Macaca fascicularis: one gene and its partner. The protein of the gene in region 2 interacts with the protein of the main gene of each other region in a biochemical or structural test. Links are inferred from orthologs where the notes say so. Each region holds a gene or a part of one and is shown on either strand. Other genes may lie near its edges.

Region 1 (10,457 bases), on a different chromosome or scaffold from region 2:
ACTACTACTTGAGAGGCCATTGCTATCTACCCACGAATAAGCTAAACAGCCAAGGCAGAAACAACAACAGACATGCCAATGGCTGAAGATGCTTGCAGGCCTACCTCAGAGAATAGGAAATGGGGGCTGAAAGAACGATCATCCTGGCCAAGAGCACGTGTCCTGAAGCAACACTGTCCCAGAGCACCCAGGCTCTGCACCTCAGGCTAGTCACTCCTCTCCTGGCCTGTTTCCTCACCTTCAAAATCGATACAGCCCTTCACAATGGTCTGCTGTGACAAGTGAGATAATGCAGTTAATACAGTGTCTAGCAGTTAGTTAACCCTAGGAGTGCAACTTAAAAAGAAGTTTGATGGCTTGCATGTAAATAAGGATGAGGAACTACTTTGTACATGCCATGATGGGGCTCCAAGCCCAAGAGTTGTGAGTTATTCAGTATAAAATATAAGCAAGAGCTTCCTTAAAAAAGGACCTCACTCTCCTTGGACAGCACATAACCCAGAAGAGGACAAACAGTGGCCAGAGATGCTACAAAAAGCGTTCCTGAAATGGGTAGCAGCAGACATTTCTTACTAAAGCCCTTTCTCTCTCCAAGATTAAACATTCCAAGACCTAGGAAGAACATATCCCTAAATCCATGCCTTTTCCTTTTCCTTCCTAAGGTACTGGAGTAGGCTGGGGAGGTAACGGGAGATAAAAATGCCTGGGCTCTAGTCTGAGCATCACCAGTCTCCCTTGGCTTTGGCTCCTCCCTCAGTAATGTGGATGGATACTGCCCCTGGCTGGTGACCAGGCTGTGGAGAGTTAGATGAGACAACATCACAGGTGAGTCAAAGTCCATGGGACACTCTAAAGCACTATCAACAATATAACAGTAATAATATTCAAATATTTACTTTGCCAAATGTGCTACTCTGAACTTCATTGTGCCCCTTCAAAATTAAGCAGAGGAGGCCGGGCGCAGTGGCTCAAGCCTGTAATCCCAGCACTTTGGGAGGCCGAGATGGGCGGATCACAAGGTCAGGAGATCGAGACCATCCTGGCTAAAACGGTGAAACCCCGTCTCTACTAAAAAATACAAAAAACTAGCCGGGTGAGGCGGCGGGCACCTGTAGTCCCAGTTACTCGGGAGGCTGAGGCAGGAGAATGGCGTAAACCCGGGAGGCGGAGCTTGCAGTGAGCTGAGATCCGGCCACTGCACTCCAGCCTGGGCAACAGAGCAAGACTCCGTCTCAAAAAAAAAAAAAAAAAAAAATTAAGCAGAGGATTCCTGACTTCATATTTTGTATTCTACTTTTATCAAATTTCTACAGAGCTACAATTTGGGGGGAGGTGGGAGGGACAGAGATATGAAGAGAAAAGAGAATGTGGTGGGGGAAATAGAGTGGTTTTAAGTTAATGTGAAGGGGGAAAATCATGATCATCAAAATTAACCTTGGTAATCCCTTAAGAAAACAATAGCTGGCGGCCCGGCGCGGTGGCTTATGCCTGTAATCCCAGCACTTTGGGAGGCTGAGGAGGGCAGATCATGAGGTCAGGAGTTCGAGACCAGCCTGACCAACATGGAGAAACCCCAACTCTACTAAAAATACAAAAATTAGCCAGGTGTGGTGGCGTGTGCCTGTGATCCCAGCTACTCAGGAGGCTGAGGCAGGAGAATTGCTTTAACCTGGGAAGCGGAGGTTGCAGTGAGCCGAGATTGTACCACTGCACTCCAGCCAGGTGACAGGGCGAAACTCCGCCACACACACACACACACACACACACACACACACACACACACACAGAAACACAAAAGCTTGCACTAGCCCAACAAAGTCAGTTTCCCCTCTATCACTGGGGCAGGCTACTATTTCTTTGGCTGAGCACAATATGAGGCTGTTCTTTAAATGTAGGGCCCATGTTGTAAAAAAGGCACTTAATTACAATTGGCATAAGATTCTCACACAGTGAGACACAAGGGAACTGAGAAAAACTAAGGGACTGTGAGTTTTCATCCATTTCCAGCTCTCTCTGAGGAAGACCCTCGAATGGCAGGGAAGACTAATCTCTGCTGCCCACATGGTTAAGGTTTTTTTTTGTTTTGTTTTTTGTTTGTTTGTTTTTGAGACGGAGTCTCGCTCTGTCGCCCAGGCTGGAGTGCAGTGGCGCGATCTCGGCTCACTGCAAGCTCTGCCTTCCAGGTTCACGCCATTCTCCTGCCTCAGCCTCCTGAGTAGCTGGGACCATAGGCACCTGCCACCACGCCCGGCTAATTTTTTGTATTTTTAGTAGAGACGGGGTTTCACCGTGTTAGCCAGGATGGTCTCGATCTCCTGACCTTGTGATCCACCCGCCTCGGCCTCCCAAAGTACTGGGATTTACAGGCGTGAGCCACAGCACCCAGCCTTATGGTTAAGTTTTTATAAGTTGAATGTGCATATGAGGCCACTCCGATGTATGCAAATTTAAAATCATGCCCCACCAGGGCTTACCACTCTGGCACTTACTTTCTGATTAAATGTCAGGGAAGCCCGTGGGCTGCTAAGTGAGAGGAAGGGCCTGGCAACCAAGGGCCACTATTTGATGTGCTGCAATCCTGGCCAAGGCAGGAGGAAGTCACTGTCATAACATGGGGATTCTGAGGATCTGTGGTGGGCTTTTCACAGTTCCACCCTCTAAAACATATGTAGATACCACACATTGCAGAACCAAAGGAAGTGGGAAGGCGGTGTAGCCAAATGCTGAAAGCAGTGACCATAAAAAACTAAGTTCAGCCCTTACAGGAACTCAAAGGCTTCACAGCTGTTTCCTGGCAACCAGAAGCACAGATTAATAAAGAGCCTCACTCTAAACCTGACTAAGGAAGGCCTCAGGGCCCTGACCACACCTGGAAGACTTCTCAGGGTTAGAAAGCAGGGAGGCCTGTACACTCATTTTAGTTTAACCCAAGTAAGGTCTGCTTAGCACCCTGCACTCTTTTCACTGCCTAGGGACTCTTAGCACCCTGCACTCTTTTCACTGCCTAGGGACTTAGGTCAGATCTTGCCATACTCCTCTTTTTAAGACTCTTATTTATTCATTCAACAAATATTTACTGACTGCCTACTTCATACCAGATACTTGTTTGATGGCTTCCCCTCACACCAAGTCAAATCCAAAGCCATGTCTCTCCAACTCATCTCTTTAACAAGCCTTGCTTGCACACTAAGGCCTTTTATCCTGTTCTTTCAACATGCCAAGCTCAGTCCCACCACAAGGCCTTTGCACTCACAGTCCACCCTCTCTCCTACCTGTGACACTGTAGGGTTGGCGCTTTCCATTATTCCCCTCAGTTGAAATGTCACTTTCTCAGAGAAGCCTTCCCTGACCACCTCTCCAGACACTCTTTATCATATCACACAATTTCCTCCATAGCACTTACTGCTATCTGAAATTGTCTTATTTATTTACCCCTTAACAGCCTTCTCTCCTTGACTCGAATGGAAGCTCCCAAAGGACACAGACTATGTCTGTTTTGTTTGCTATCCACAATGGGACATAATAGGCCCTCAGTAAATATCTTTTGAATAAACAGACAAAAAGAATTTTGGGAAGTCCATTTTAGGGCACCTCAAAGCCTGTTCTATGTTATTTAAACCATGCCAAATGCTCTTGTATTCCACTCGAGAGCAGCTGACATTTTATCTGATCGCCATAGCCATTTACGAAGCACTCACTTTTTAACTGTCAGGGTCTCCAGAAGTTAGAATCGGGCACCTGTTAACTCAGATTGTAGGTAGCCAACCGAGTGACTGCAAGCAGGGCTGAGCTGCAACAGCACCTTATTGCTGGCTACCGCCAGCACACTGGGCCCCTTGCTTCATTACGACCTGGTACGAGTGTTATTCTGGTGAGAAGTTTCCCCCAGCAGTCTGGCCTGACTCAGAATCTCTCTTCTGGGAGTGCCTGGGGCAGCGTCTTGGTAAATGAATTGACTCAGCACTGTTCCAGCTGAAACCAAAATCGAGTAAAAGGATTCATGGTCTCCGCTATGCTGCAAGAAGACCCCACTGTTTTAAATGCAAAAGGCAGCAGCTTCTGGTGGGTCACTTCAGTCAGATCCCCCATATTCAATTTCTTTTATTCTCACCCCAACCATCAGACAAGTATGGCTCCTTGAGACCGCAGAGGAGCAACACTGTAAAGAATTTCCCTCACCCTATTTCTCATGGATCACCAATTCCTTCCCAACACTGCCCCTGCTGTGGCCTTAAATACCCCAATGACTGCCGTACTCAGGTTCGTGTCCCTGCAGCCCCACAGTGGGGAACACTGTGGTTCTGTTTCCTTCCTCCATCAGAGGTAACCCATCTTCACCCCATCTGAGAGCACCTCCTTGGCCAACTTCACTGCCAGGCACCCGAGGGTGCAGCCTCACCCAAGAGTGTCCATTTCATCTATTCACCTCCCTACTCCCATCAGCCAGTGGGGAACTTCTGAGCTGAACCCACATATCTGTCCCAATTATCAAAGGAGTGGATGAGAGTGAGCGTCTCCACAGAAGAGACACTTCTAGGATATGCTTCCCTCACTCAATTCAAAAAGAGGAGACTTATCTCGTTTACAAGAAACATCTCTGGAACCCGACCTTCTCCACTAACTCATTTCAGGGGCTTCCCTCAGTTGAATCCCCACTCCCAAAGAGACATCCTCGGGATTCCCAATTCACCTGTTCTTCCTCATTCAATATCAGAGGCTTCCACCAATTGCCCCAACGGACCTGTCCCCTGAAAGCGAAATTGGAGCAATCCATCTGTATCCTCGAATAGGAGACTGGTAATGATGGGGTCATTTCACTATCACTGCAATCAAGTCCCTGTGGCATCTGAATCCTTTCCCCCCCGCTCTCACTTATCATGCGGAGATTCCTTAATTCTCCCCAAAAGCAGCCGCTCCAAGGCTCCTCCTTTCTAGTCAACACAGCTATTTCCTCGGCTAACCCTATCTCTAAAACTAACGCCGGAGCCGTCCCCTCAACCAATAGGGGATCCTCTCGAGTCACCCCCTCAGGATCCCGTTTCTTCCTCCCATCCAGCTTGAGGGGCTCCTCTGATGTCCCCTCCAGACATCCCAAGGCCCCCCCCTCAGCCGCACCCCTGGCACCCAGTACGGGACTTCCATCCGCTGTGGGGCGCCTCCTCCTCTAAGGAACCCCTTGGTCGCCCCTTAAAGAGTCGCCAGCCCCGGTCTCCTCAGAAGTGCCTTGGAGCTCGCTCCTCGCCCACTCCGGCTCCCCCAGGTAGCGCAGCGGGGCCCTCACGCCTCCCGGGGGAGCCTTAAGGCTCGCCGCGCCGCCCACAGGCCCCTCAGCCCCCCGCCCGTGCTTCCGGCCACCGCCTGCCCGTGGCTGCAGCGGAGCCCACCGGACAGAGGCGGCGCGGGGACCCTGGCCCCCCTGCAGGAGCCTTTGAGAGTCCCCAGCCCCCGGCCCAAGCCCATGCCCCTTCGGCCGGCCGGGCCCGGCGCCCCCGCTCACCCGAGCCCGTGGTGGCTGCCATCTTGCGTCGCTGTTGCTTGAAGGCCGGCCCCTTCTTCACCCCCCACCCGTCCCCTGGCCCTGATGCGCAGGCGCGCGCGCACGCACAGACGCCGCCACTGACGCCCGCTCCGGAGACCTGCGCGACCCGAGGCCGGGGAGGCTCTTTTCCTTCCCTTTTAGAGAAAGGAAATATCTGCGTGCTCGAGGGCTCAGCAACCTGCAAGTCCCCCCACATCGGGTGCGAGGGAGGTTGTGACGTGCTTAGTGAGAAGGGCAGGGGTGACGAGGCTTGGGAAGGCGCGATTGTGAAAGAAAAAGAAAAGATAGCTTCAAACAAAAGCGCCGAATTCACTTGGGGCTTTTTCCTGTCTAGTTCCTATCTAGATCCTCACCACATCTCCACAAGGTCGGAATTAATGTGAAAAATGCAGCCGAGAGAGATTAAACGATTTATCTAAACTCAGCTGTTAAGTGGCAGAGACAGACAGAATTTTAACCTCCAGGTTCAAATTTGAATTTGAATCGTCACCCTCCAGGTCAGATGATCTGGCTTCTAGGATTGATGCTCCCTGGCCAGAGAAGGCTTGAAGTGGGTGCAGCTAAATGATTTGGGGGCAATAAGGTGGCAGGGAAAACATTTGCTAACCATCTGCCCAATTCATTCATTCACTCATTCGTTCGTTCATTCATTCAACCAAACAAACATTAAGCACCTACTATGTACCAGACACTGTGCTAGGAGCTGGGGATGGATAGACATCTCTGAAGAAGCAAATCCCTGCTTTCAGGGGCTTCCATTCTAGTCATAGATAGCAAGTAAATAAACAGGAAACTACAATTCTGATAGGCTAGAGATAAACCAAGAAAAGGGCAGCGGAGGATGGTCAGGAAAGGCTTCCTAACGTGGTCGTATTTCAACAGAGACCCTAACAATGAGGAGGTAGAGGGAACAGCTTGTGCAAAGGCCCTCGGGAAATATTTTTGCAAATAAACCCAAGAAGTTAATCCTCCTATATTATAAATTGTCTGAGAAGCCCTTATATGGATGTAGACCCTGAAGCTGAGACAGGTGAAGGGACTGGCTTAAGGTCACAGAGCAAAATACTGGCAGAAGGACTAGGACTCTAAACAAAGAGGGACAAGGAAGCTGGAAGCCCTCACCCAGCACATCCAATTCATCACCTTTGTCTGACAACAATGCCTACTCTGCATCTCTCCTGCTCCATTCACTTCTCCACTCAGGACAAGCTGTCTTTATCTCCTACTTGGAAGACCCCGGCAGCTTCCATTCTCTCCCCCATGGTCCATTCTCCATATGGACCAACATCTGCTCAAAACACCCTCCAGCTAAAGCCTTCAGTGGCTCCCTATTCCCTCTGGATAAAATGCAAACTCTACAAGTTGAGTGACCATAGATTATCACCTAATGAGGACACTCATCAGATTAAAAGAGGACCTATTATAATCTCACCAGGGCAAGTGGAAACCAGGGCTCTCCAGGGCAAACCAGGATGCCTGGACACCCTGTGCACAAGGCTTTGCATCCAGGGCTTGGACGAGGATGGGGCCATCAGATTTAACGGGGCTTTCACTCAGGTCCTGACTCTGCACTTGTACAGCCCTGCAGGTGAGTGACTCCTTAAAATCTGCACCCTAGGGCAGGGCGTAGTGGCTCATGCCTGTAATCCCAGCACTTTTGGAGGCAGAGGTGGGCGGATCACCTGAGGTCAGGAGATCCAGACCAGCCTGGTCAACATGATGAAACCTTGTCTCTACTAAAAATACAAATTAGCTGGGCGTGGTGGCAGGCGCCTGTAATCCCAGCTACTCGGGAGGCTGAGGCAGGAGAATCGCTTGAACCCGGGAGGCAGAGGTTGCAGTGAGCCGAGATCGCGCCATTGCATTCCATCCTGGGCAACAGAGCGAGACTCTGTCTCAAAAAAAAAAAAAAAATTCTGCACCCTAGGTCCCCCACTTGCCTCATCATAGCCTTGGCACAGCCTGCGCCTCTGAGACTTTCTGTACCTCTGCAGCGACACTGGCCCTTTGCAAGCCCCCTGGAACGCAAGGCCTCTCCCACTTCAGGGGCTTTGCTTGTGCTGTCTCCACTCTTCAGTTCTCAGTCCAGCACCACCCCCTCAGGGAAGTCTTCCTCGATTCCTTCAACCACGTCAAATTCAGCTGTAATTAGCTCTCAAAGTGCCAGCACTGGCTACAGGTGAAGCAACTTGACTTTTCGTGTATCACGTGATACAAGTTTGCTTTGGGGAGCACAGAAAATACTTGCCCTGGACTTAGGGTCACTGTAAAGCATGAGTAGCAGGTGGAAGCATTTGGGTTCCTAAGGTGGACTCACTTTTGCAGTTAAATTTTCTAGGTTCAAGTCTTCCTTCATCACTCAGTGTGCTTTGTGACTTCAGGTAAGACGCTTGAACCTCTCCTGGTATCAGTTTCCCCTTCTATGAGGATAGCAGTATCAACCTCATAGGATTGCTGTGGAGATAAAATGCTTTCCTAAAACCCCTTGGCACAGGGAGGAGGAAGGGACACTAGAAGCGCTGATATTTACCAAGCCGTTACATCCAGCTTTTAATCCTCACAACTCGATGCGCAACTCCTGTGACTATCCCCGTTTTAGAGATGAGAAAACTGAGACTCAGAGCTAACAGGTGGAGGATGAGGATTAAAACACAAGCCTTTTATCCATGATGCCCGTAAATGTCTACTCGCATGGATTCCTTGGCTTTTGTAGGAAACTTCTTGCAAGTAAAATTGACAATAATAATTATCGTGCAGAGCTCATCGCAGGAAGAGGTTAAGCGGGACAGCCCGGGGCATGCTGGTTATTGTAGGCTGGCGTTGGCGCGGTGCCTGGTGGGAGTTATAGTACGTCCCGCGCACACGCCCCCTCGAAGAGGCTCTACCCCATTCCTGGACGTCACAACCGGTCCCCAGAGCGGGATTCCTCCCGGCGCCTGCGCCTGGTCGCCGCTGTGCGCTTGAGCTGATAAACTCAGCTGATGGGGATAAGAGTCTTGTTTTATCGGATTTTGGGGAAGATTAAAATGGTTAATAAAACTAGAGAATTTAGAAAAGCGCTTGGCACTAAGTGCAATATAAGTATTAGCTGCTATTATTACTTAATCCTCAATGACCCTTGCAAAGTAGCTGTTACCATTTCCATTTGTGAGATGAGAAAACTGAGGCTTAGAGGAGTTAGATGGCTTTTCCAAGGTCACACAAGGAAGGAGTAAAATCAGTTCTGGAATCCAGTTTTCTTTATCCTGTGTCACCTGCTGACTCTCCTGTGATGAGGGAGGTGGAGCCTGGGAGGTTTTGAGCAAAATGTGGGCAGGTTTGCCTTTTTGCAAAGTGCATCGTGCTGCCATGAGGAGACAGGGTGAGGACACCCAACTGGGCAGCAGCAATATTGGTGGCAGGGAACCCAGAGAGGTGTGTTGGGCACTGTTTACTGCCAGTCCAGTTGCCATGTCCCCACATGGCGGGGTGGGTGTTTGGAAACTTTGCCTCCCCTCATAAAAGCTGAAGAGAAGGTTGGGCGCCCTGGCTCACGCCTGTAATCCGAACACTTTGGGAGGCCGAGGCGGGCGGATCACCTGAGGTCAGGAGTTCGAGACCAGCCTGGCCAACATGGCAAAACCCTGTCTCTACTGCAAATACAAAAATTAGCTGAGAGTGGTGGCTCATGCTTTTAATCCCAGCTACCTGGGAGGCTAAGGCACGAGAATCGCTTGAACCTGGGAGGCAGAGGTTGCAGTGATCCAAGATCACGCCATTGCACTCCAGTCTGAGTGATAGAGTGAGACTCCGTCTCAAACGAACAAAAAAGCTGAAGAAAAAGCCTATTTTTGTCCCCTTTCCTCCTTCCTACCATATGAGGTTGTAATGATTAGAACCAGAATCCTGGGTGATATCGCTGAGCTGCTAAAGGAATCGCGGGGCTGCCCACCTGCAGACTTCTGAAGACGTGAGATAATGTGCCTGTTGCTTAAGTTGTTCTTAAAGGTAGGTTTTTGTTACCTACCACCAAAAAGCATACCTCATCGATACAGGAAGCTGATGCAATGGTTCAGCTGAGAGGCATATAGACCTGACTGTTCTGCAGTGTTCATTCATGAACTCTGTTCTCAAGTGAGAAAACACTAGGGCTGGTTTGGAATCTCAGGGATGTGAAAGGCATGAGTAGTTTGAAAAAGTATATTCGAAAGGTGGAAAATCAAAAATTATATAATGTTATCCACAACTTCATATTTCCTATTTATAGTTAAGGAAAACCCCCAACCTCTTGCTATAGTTTTTGTAACATAAGCTACAGAAAGTAAAGCTGACAAACTGTTGACAGGAAGGGCTGTGGACTTGCAGAAGACAGAGAGGATAATCCCTGGGAAGGGATGTGTGGTTAACAGGGTGTGATGAGGCCAGGCATGGTGGCTTACACCTGTAATCCTAGCACTTAGGGAGGCTGAGGCGGGTGGACCACCTGAGGTCAGGAATTCAAGACCAGCCTGACCAACATGGTGAAACCCCGTCTCTACTGAAAATACAAAAATTAGCCGAGCGTGGTGGCTCATGCCTGTAATCCCAGCTACCGGGGAGGCTGAGGCAGGAGAATCGCTTGAACCTGGGAGGCAGAGGTTGCCGCAGCACTGCACTCCGGGCTGGGCAACAGAGCGAAACTCCATCTAAAACAAACAAACAAAAAAAACCCCAACAGGATGTGTGATGCATTTGCCAGTGAAATTCTATGGCATATATATGGAGTCATGGTTCCCTGAGGTGTGTCTAGCCATAGCGCTGAGACATCTTATTTAATGTCTGATGTAGTTTTGAAATATACAGTCAAAAAGAGGTGGGAGTGGGTGGGCAGGGGGCCTTGGTGCACTTCATTAACTCACTCTATCAATGGACATCTCAGTTGTTTCCATTGGCTTCTTCT
Region 2 (10,193 bases):
GGATCTTCTACGCTCAATAGGCTGAGCTTTCCAGTTCTCCCTTGTATAAACCTGTATCATGATACCCACCTTTCAGGTTTGTAAATCTTTACTTTTCTGTACCCCTTCTAGACTATGAACAAGAACCTGATGAAGGGTAGTTGCTAATATCTTGGCTGACTGTAAAGGAGGTGTTAATTGCCCCACACTGAAAAGAGGGTGAGAAGGTGACACATAAAATTTCATATGAAGTTGGTGCCATTGGAATTGGATCTTAAATAATGAACAGTAGTTTTCAGACATACAACAGAAAGAAAGGGCATTCGAAGAGAATCACATGAGCAAAAGAAACATAAAAAATCACATGTTGCAGGCACATATGTGTGTGCTGATACATACATACATCTTTCTAATTACTCTTCTGCTGCAGTGGTGAAGGTGGAATCTATACCACTAATGTAAGCCTAATCAGCCCAACTAGGCCATAAACTCATTGGGAAGAAATGGTCATTTGTATGTGCCTTCCCCATAGGCAATATATAGATATATACAACCTGTGTGTACCCACCCCTACCCAGCACCACCTAATACATATGGTATAAAGAAATGACACTGAATAATCATAAATTTAAATACCTATTCATCCAAGGAAAAAAGGTTTCTATTTGGTGAAAAACAGACATTTGAGTGAATCTGTTAGAGTCCTAGGTAATTAGGAAATTACTGGGGGAAAGAATCCTGCTACTGTATTTCCTTTGAACCAAGATTCTATCCTACAGGATGAAGTAAATCAGCCAGGGAGGGAAGCTGTAACATAAATCAGCCAACTGTCACATGAGTCTCTTTCTTTAATGTTACAAAATTTAGGGAGAGAAACCATTCAGATTACTACAAAGAAACATTTAAAATGAGCTCATTAAATGCAAATGAAAACAGAAACATTGAATAAGCACTGGGCTACAATTAAAGGCTGAAGAAACAGTAGGTAAGAAGCAATTTTCATTGATCAAAGAACTAAAAGCTAACAGAATAAAGTTTTTTGCATTAAAACTGCTCTCAGGAATATGAAGCATTTCGAAGTAAGAACTCTTTTTTTTTTCCTGCATCTTTCAAAAAAGCTTTGGAGGTAGGAATGGATTTACATATCTTAATACAAAGTACTTTCATTGTATCATTTTCAGGCAATGAAACTATGAGGTTTCAAAAAATGCAGACTTCAAAAATATCCTCAGAAATAGGGCCAAAACTGTAAAGGACAAAGGGTCATTTTAGAGCTTTTGGACCGACTCAAGGAAAAACTATTATATAATTACATAAAATCTTCTATGCAAAACTTTATTAGAGCCTATTTTTGACACAATTTTACCTCATCATAAACAGAAGCTTTGGGGTACTTAGGCATAGAGCTGCTTTTCATCAACTTATTAAAATGGCAGGGCAAAGAGTAGTACACAGAATATTCAACTAGAAATATAAATTGAGACTTTAAAATTCACTGCACACACGCTTGAAAACAAACATGCAGATATATGGGCAAATGGTGAAGTCAGAATGCACATTCCTGATGGCAAGGGACTTTTTCTGCTCTGTTCCCTCGTTTCCCTGGCACCTAGAGCAGTTAAGGGTACACAGCAGGTGCTGAAATCACCGCATCTGCTTTTGTGAAACTAACGCATTATAAGATGAAAATGGGAAGTTTTCTTCTAAATTAATTTGCAAAGTTAAAAGATGCTGTTTTTCATCTGTCAAGAGGGCAAAAATAAAAAATCTTTGATGGCACATGGGAGGAAATGGGCACCCTTATACACACTGAAAGGGAGGGCAGGGCCACCAAGGACAGTTGTGCAGCTTGTACACTGAAAGGCACTACACCTAGGGTGAGAGAGAGGTGGGGACTGGAGATCTAGGAGGTGTTCTGCTAGTGAAAGCTGAGTCAGTCTCGGGAAGGACGTCTTTTGGTAATTTTCAGGCCAGAGGGGCAGGGCAGCTCTTTACTACCATGTTGTATTCGTGGAGGCTTTAGATAGCTTTGTAAAATAGGGCAACTTATTTTAGAAAAATTTTGAAATACCTAGGAATATTTTAAATCTGCAAACTCTTTAACTCAAATTGTCATACGATTTCTCTTTTACATATATGCTTACATGTGCAAGTAAAAAGATATGTCCACAAACATTTCTGATAACAGTCGTCTGTAAACCTGATGAGTGCTTATTTGTTGGTAAATATTTTCATTAGTGTATCCTATAAAACACTAGGCAGGAACTGCTGTGGAGTGAATCTGTACATGCAGATATGTAAATTCTCAAAGAGATGCTAAGTGAAACAAGGTATAGAAGAGACTATGTTCCAATGAATGGTTTTTGTCAATCAAAAATCTTCTTAAAAGTATAAGACACTGAATGTGTATTTCAATACTGACAACATTGGTGTATATATAACCAAGCACTCTAATATCTGCTGTTACTCAAATACCTAAATCCAGTTCTACAGAACATTTAGAACATACCACAAATTATCACCACTAACATTCCATTTTAAATACAAAAAACTGATCATTTTTTACAAAGTCAAAATATATTTTTAATAGAGATACCAAAAATTACACTTTTCTACGTTGAATTCTTTTAAGCTTTTCTATTCTGCTTTATATTATCTTGAAGTCCTTCTCCACACCTTCCACAAAGGCACAATTTTTAACCGACTTCAATTAAATTACGTTTCCATAGCTGCCCAGGTCAGGGCATTCAACATATCAATCGCAATCCAGGTGGGAAATGTAAGGACTTATGAAACAGTCCTCATCCCAAGAAGGGAATCTTTGGTTTTGAGAAAGTAAAAGGAAGGCACATTCCACTAGCAGTTAGGTCGCAGTCAGTCTTGTTTACTCCTCTTCTACCAGGAAACCCATCTTTACGTTTCTCCAACTGGCAGAATATTATTTGCATTAAGGTTGGGGCGGGAAATTAAAGAAAAATAAAATTAAAAAGAAAAAGAAATAAGTTTTCCTGTTTTAGGCTAACTTGTCCCAGAGGCAGCAACAGCACAGCCCAGATCCAGGAAGAGTCTTGCTAATATTATCGAATGTGCTCTGGAGACTCTCCCAGCACTCCCTCAACACAGGGAGAAGAAAAACAAATTTTCCTTTGTTTTATGGAATCAGTTTATAGACTCTTGTTCTCTGTAACTAGTGATTTCAAGTATTCTGTTTTATCTAAGAAGCACAACGAAGGTCATGAGAAGCCTGAGTAGGCCTGAACTACAGCTGCCTGGGCACCATAGTGAAGGTTATAGGATAAGCCTGTGCCCAGGGAAACCTAGATAACGAACATCTGGGTTGCTTGGCGATGGCCATGTGCAGTCCTGCCTTTGTCCTGCCTCTGTATCCCTGCTTTGCCACCACCGTAAGTTTGCTTCAAGCTAGCCCACCTCCTTTTGTGAAGTGTGTATAAAAGTCAAGTACTGTCTTTATTCTGGGCCCAGTCTATTGCATGTGAGTCAGCTGGGCCTGAGTGCACTCGATCAAGATTCTCCTGTTTCAACCCGAGGTCTCTCTCGTCCTCCTGAATCCCGCAACAAGGTGAGTGTAACAGAGAAAGCATAGGCCTGAAAGGAGCAAGCTTTGAGAAGCACTCTTACCTTTAACAGAAAATCCCAGATACATACTATTTACATTTTGATCTCCAACTGATCACTGGATAAAATCTATAATGTCTTTCCTCGCTCTGAATTTTTGTCACAAAAACACAAAATCCATCACTCCAAGGCTTCCTTTTAATGGTTTTCACTTTCACCTACCTTTAGCACTGTTCACCACACCCAAATCTCAAACTGGCCATTCAGATGTTTACTGAAATGTGGCTAATGAGGCTGGGCGTGGTGGCTTACGCCTCCAATCCCAGATCTTAAGTGCCTGTCTTCATATAGCTTTACAATAAATTTGTTTCTCTTAAAATTATCTGTGCACTAGATTAAGTTAAATTAAAATAAAATGTATTTAACTGTCTTCAAAATAAGGTATAGGCTATTTTCTTCCTGTAGACTACTGATAGCACGGATTTTGGAAAATCTCTTCTACTTGGTTTTCTGATTCAGTTCAGACTTGTGCTTACAAGTGAATCTTACGTAAATGTCACCTAAAAAGAGCTCAAGAAAACTCAAAAAATTATAACTTTTTCATAATTTGGTTAACTTTCAAGTCATTCACCAAAAGTCAGACCATGCTAGAAAGGGAAGGCTGAACAACATTCTTGTTTTACCACAGAGACAAAGACAATGCCAGTTAGCTGGCTTGATTCTCCCACTGATGGGCAGAATGTTTACATTTTAACAATAACTTCATAAATAAAAACAGATGTAGTACGTGTTTTCAGTGCATAAAGATCATATATTTTATGAATCCACCTCTCACCTTACTTCTGGACAGACCACATCTGACTTCGAACGTACTTACTGCAATCAAAAGTGTTTTGTAAGGGACGCTCCTCAGGAATTAGCCCTAAACAAGCTCACTAAACCCTCCATACATAACCTGGAGAAACTTCCACAATAATGAAACCCCATATAGCACTGGCTTCTAAACATATGGTGCATTTCCATTCATTTTTAGGGACAGCCCCTAAAGTAGTTTTTGGTTCAACAACCCTGGAAGAGGACCTTTGCACCTTTGCTCATCTTACACATCAAGTGTTCATGAACAACTCTGATGCCACTAAGTTTTGTTCACAAAATTGCACCTCGGTCATTGTGTTTTACCAAAAAAAAAAAAAAAAAAAAAAGTTATATTGCAAAAGGCAGTAGATGTAATCTTGGCTATTATTTACTCTCAATTTTTCTTTCACCTCAGCCCTCCAACGAGAAGTTTAAAAGGAAACATCCGAGGGAGCAAGAAGTTTAGATTCATCTGGAGGAGTTTCTGTGGCGCCCAGCCACCCTCACCAGGTGCCTTCCATTAGAGTTTAATGCTTTGCTGGGGTTTCCTGAAAGAGCCCCACAAAGAGTGGGTCTCGATGGGTCCTGAACCGCACGACAACTGGCCAGGGCCTCGAGGGCGAGGGGCGGCGGCGGGGCGAAGGCTTCGGGACCCTACACGGTCCGGGGGACCATGAGCGAGGACCGGGGGTGCGGGGCCGCCTGGCGTCCCCGGTGAGGCGGTCTTCACGGGAACGCTCAGAGCAGGGGCGGGCGGGCGAGGGCTTGGAACGCACACACTGGGGCCCCGGGCCCGCGTCGCTGAGCTGGAGAGCCCGGCGGTGCGGGCCGGGTACGGCATGGGCACTTTGGCCCCGTCACTGACAGTTGGCACCTGGGGTCCAGGTCGGCCGAGGCCACACCGGGGCGCAGGGCGGCGCAGATGAGGCTGTACCTGGCAGGTACCCACGTACCTATCATGGTCACTGGGCAGGTGGCGGCTGCGGGCCAGGAAAGGGCCTACGCGCGCACCGGCGCCAGCCAGCGCCTCCCACCAGCGGCTCTCCTGGGTTAAATCTTCCAGGGCTCCCCGCCCCGGCGCCGGGCCCTAGGAATGCGCACGCGCGGAGGGTACGCGGCCCAGGGCCTGCTGGGAGTCGTAGTTTTAATGCGTAGTTTCTCCTCACGCCTCCTGCCCTCCAGCTCACCGCCGCCTCCCTTTCCGGCTTCAGGCCCAGCAATCGTACGTCACCGAGGGGCGGAGCTATGCGCCCGCAGTGTTGACCAGTCGCTTAGCAACCGGGAGGCTTACCTTTGGAAGCTTGTTGCAGCTCTAGCTACGGTCCTGCCCTCTTCCCGCCCCACCCCTCCCCTAAACTCCCTTCACCTAGGAGCTGCCAAACATCTGGATCAACCTGGGCACTACGAGGGGTTGAATTTCTACCATTAACGCGCCTTTTGACATTTTTTTCCCGACCTCCTGCTCACATCCGTAAAACCCACTGATTCTTTTACTACACTTTTTATGAGAACAAGACATTTTCTAGGAAGATGGTGGCAGAAAAAGAGACCCTGAGCTTAAACAAATGCCCAGACAAGATGCCGAAGAGGACCAAGCTGCTGGCACAACAGCCGCTCCCGGTGCACCAGCCTCACTCCCTGGTTTCTGAGGGCTTCACAGTCAAAGCCATGATGAAAAACTCAGTCGTAAGTGATCTTCCTGAATTGAATGCACTCGCTCCGTATCAGGGGACACGAGATTTACAGAGGTTGGCCAGCCCTAGGATGGACTCTGAGCCCATGTCCTGGGTGGTCTTTGCCAAAAATGGCAATTACTTGGCAAGTAGCAGACGGTCCCCCACAGTGTGTGGGGGGCAGGCTAGGTTGTTAGAATCCTGGGCAAATGATATACTCTGCCCATTGATAAGCACCTTCCTGATAACTCATCGTTTCTAAACCGCCCAAAATTACTCTTACGCTATTTACACGAGGTAAAAAGATCCCCTTTAATTACTGATTGCTAACTAACCCCACTCAGCAAAGGGCCTTACAGAAGATGAGCTCTTAGAAATCATAAACTCTTGCAAAATTTAACATGAGCTGATATACAACTGGGAACATAAACTCATTAAATAATCTATAATGAGAAATTTTGGAATATCCTAGCAGTTACTCTAACAACACTTGTCTCTTAGAAAATGATGTCATCTTGTTAGAGTACTGAAAGCCCACTTAATATGAACACTGTTTCCTGACAGGCCTTTTAAGATGATGTGCTTTAAACAATACAAGCTTTAGCTCATGTGTCTCTGCTACTAATACAATTCATATTTCATCTGCATTATTTGTAGTAACAAAAATAAAATATTCTAAGTATCATTAGAGGAAAAAAAGATTAAAAATACATACAAATATTTTAGCTGTCTGCATGATAGTATCTATTTTTTAAACCTTCCTATTTGTTACATAGCTTTACACTTGGTATGCTAAGGCAGATTTTGCTACTGAGTAAGCACCTGTCTGGGAATGAGGCATTAAATAATAAATGCAGCTTTCAAATTCATATAATTTACACCCTGGGAAGATCTGAGTTATTACATGTGGCAATTCATTATGTTAAATGAGTAATGTTGTTTTCCAGTGTCACATTATTTCCTTTGCTTATATGTTGTAAACCTAATAACTTATTCCTAAATGACATACTTAAAATACATGAATGAAACAGATTACCTATAGACCTCTAGGCCAGGTTCCCATGTGGTTATGCAAAATGATATCCTAATTATTGAGAAGTGTGTCAGGTGATTTACAGTAGTTAAAATTCTTGGAAATAGACTAAAATTCTGCTTGTTGTAACTAATTCTTTTTCATGGAATTTCACATAAATTGGTTCTCCTAGGAGTCAAGATGATGCATTTATCAGCAATACCATAACCATTCAAGTTAATAATTTAGTTTTCTTCTACACAATATTTACAATTTTGGTGTTTTTTAATGTTATAATTGAATATCACAATTTTTTTTTTTTACTGGTCAGGGTTCTTTTCTGTTATTTCCTAAACTTGTGTTCATAATTCTTGTATCATGTTAATTCTTTAATATAATCCTACGCCTAAAGAGATAGTTCTGCAAAATCTAATGTTTCTATATTGCCAGATGTAGTAAATATGCCTACATGACTTTAAAAGAACCACATTGATTATGAAGCAGGCTTCTTTATAAAGAACTTATTTGTGATACATTATCTTATCTTTTTATATTCTAAAGGAAAATCTTGTGCTAGCAATACTTCTCTTGCCATTGGAAATCATAATTCTTAAATGCAAAGATTATTTATCCATTCATCTACTTATTCAGTCAACAACTCTCTCTCTCTCTTTTTTTAATACCCAATACTTGTTAAGCACAGTTCTGGGGATTTGGGATCAGCAAAGCAAAGTCCCTGCCCTTAGTACTCCAAGGTAAACCAAAATAACAACATTCAAATCTTGATAAAAGAAAGCTAGACAATACTGTTTATACAAAATAACTTCAGTGGTACAAGAAATAAAAATTTTCCATTTCATAACCAATATTTACATTTCACCATTTTTATCTTTAGCAGTATAGACTTTTCAGCATTATAAGATCAAAATATCCTCATCTCTTTCTGAAGGTGTATTTCGATTCAGGATATGTATGACAATTTCCAGCTTTTCTTAATTGCGACCTCATGCTCAAAGGCCAATACCCTCCAAACCACTTTTCCAGTTAGATAAGTCACCATTCCAATGCTCTTCCACTTAAAACATGAAGAATTTTATATATCCTAAGGAGTTACACAGAGACTCCTGATATTTCTTTGAGTGCAATAGTGATACAAGTACATAAACTTGATCATAAATATGTTTCATCAAATGGGCTGTGCAGGCAGAAATGCTTATTTAAACAGTCAGTCTGGATATGAGAGCGCAAAATTATTGAAAAATAATGATAAATGTAAATGGCAAAATTTTTAAAATCTCAATGTCAAGTATTGTTCTTCAATAGAAAGTAGACTTTGTTTCCATGAAATTTTTGTTGCATTCTATAAGAAAACAAGCATCACAAAAGCCCTGCCATCAAATAATATTCAAATTCACATTTTTATAGTGCTTGCCTATAAAGAGATGTAAGAGATACACAATTTGAAGATTTCAAAGTTCATTTTCCTTTTAAAGGCTTTATTTGGGTTGCGATAGAGCCTATGACCAGAAACTATTAACCAAGCATTTTGTTGTCTTCATCTTGTCAGATGCTTTCTGTGCTGAACATGCTTATCATGAAGCAAATTAGAAAATTGACCCAGGTTTATGGTGACAGGGAAGTTGAGTTTAGCCTAAGCTTTCTATTACAGCTTTCCTTCTCAATAGACTATAGATGCTTTATGCTCAAAGTTTAGGGGAATGGAATAAATACATATTTTTTTAATATTAAAGGTTGAGTATTCCTATTCCAAAAGTCTGAAACCTGAAATGGTCCAAAATACAAAACTTTTTGAGTGCTGACATTACACTCAAAGAAAACTCTCTTTCAAGCATTTTGGATTTCAGATTTTCAGAATTGGCATGACCACCAGTGTATAATACAGATATACTCAGCTCTTTGTACAGATTCTGCCTCCGTGGATTCAACTAACCTTGGATTGAAATGTTTAGGACAAAAATTTTATCTGTATTGAACATGTACAGACTTTTTTTTTTTTTAGTCATTATTCCCTGTTAAACAATAGAGCATAGCAGCTATTTATATAGAGTTTATGTTGTTTTAGATACTATAAGTAATATAGACATGATTTAAAGTATACGGGTGGAAATGTGTAGGTTATATACAAATACTATGCCATGTTATATCAGGGACTTGAGCATCAGCAGATTTTGGTATCTGCAGGAGGTCCTGGAAGTAATTCCTCATGGAGACTGAGGGACGACTGTATTCCAAATTTGAACAAAAAACAAAAACCAATCCAAAACACTTCTGGTCCGAAGCATTTCAGATAAGGGATAGTTCAACCTGTACTTTACATGTATAGTGCGTCCAATCATGTTCTTATTTAACATGTAGTGGTAATCATCAATATTTATACATTCTATATTAAGATATTAATTTGGCTGCTGTAACAGAGACCAAATAACAATAGCTTAATTAAAATGGAAGTTGTTTCTCTCATAATAGAAGTTCAAGTTTGTAGGTAATCCCAGGAGGTTGGGCAGTATTTCCCCGTGAGGCGGGTGCAGGGACATAGGAACATGTTTGTTCTTTGTATCCTGTAAAATGACACCTGAGACAAGGTGGGCTTGAGACCACTAGGGTCAAATACCTGCCCTCAAGAAGGAGGAAAGTGGAAGCAGAGAGCTTCCCATTATAGGCATGACCCGGACACAGCACCCCACTTTCATTGTCATCCAACTGGCCAGAACCTAGTAATACACCTACATTTTCCCGTTTTGCAAAATCCTGTGAAAGCTTGACCCATGAAGTAACACCCAAGCCCACATACCTCTCTCCTCAGGAAAGGGATGAAGGAAGCTATGTAGTTCCAAAAGGGCATCGTCTCCAACACCTACTTCAGGTAGGGGAGAGAAAAATGGGTATGGAGCAATCTGCAAGAATGAGGCAAGAAGAACTGAAGAGCAAACAGCTTCATTATGAAGGCATGTCCCAGAAACAGCAATCCTCACTCCTGCTCAAATCCTGCCAAAACCTAGTCTTATGGCCACAGCTAGTTGCAAGAGAGGCTGCGACATGTAGTCTTTAACTGGTAGCTCTATGTCCAGCTCAAACTT

The links.
Region 1: the proteins of PRKN (region 2) and UBE2V1 form a complex in vitro, tested with the Homo sapiens proteins (4 studies listed by BioGRID). The link is inferred for Macaca fascicularis from reciprocal best matches to the Homo sapiens genes PRKN and UBE2V1.

The regions. Positions count from the first base shown.
Region 1 is NC_088384.1:106,201,035-106,211,491, forward strand, and holds the start of UBE2V1 (ubiquitin-conjugating enzyme E2 variant 1), read right to left. Parts: upstream 5,557-10,457; 5' UTR 5,520-5,556; coding exon 5,498-5,519; intron 3,973-5,497; exon of another isoform or gene 3,699-3,972; intron 273-3,698; exon of another isoform or gene 105-272; intron 1-104. UniProt on the Homo sapiens protein: Has no ubiquitin ligase activity on its own. The UBE2V1-UBE2N heterodimer catalyzes the synthesis of non-canonical poly-ubiquitin chains that are linked through Lys-63.
Region 2 is NC_088378.1:8,399,817-8,410,009, reverse strand, and holds the start of PRKN (E3 ubiquitin-protein ligase parkin), read right to left. Parts: upstream 5,490-10,193; 5' UTR 5,371-5,489; coding exon 5,364-5,370; intron 1-5,363. Other genes in the region: PACRG (parkin coregulated gene protein), read left to right, coding at 5,941-6,096. UniProt on the Homo sapiens protein: Functions within a multiprotein E3 ubiquitin ligase complex, catalyzing the covalent attachment of ubiquitin moieties onto substrate proteins. Substrates include SYT11 and VDAC1.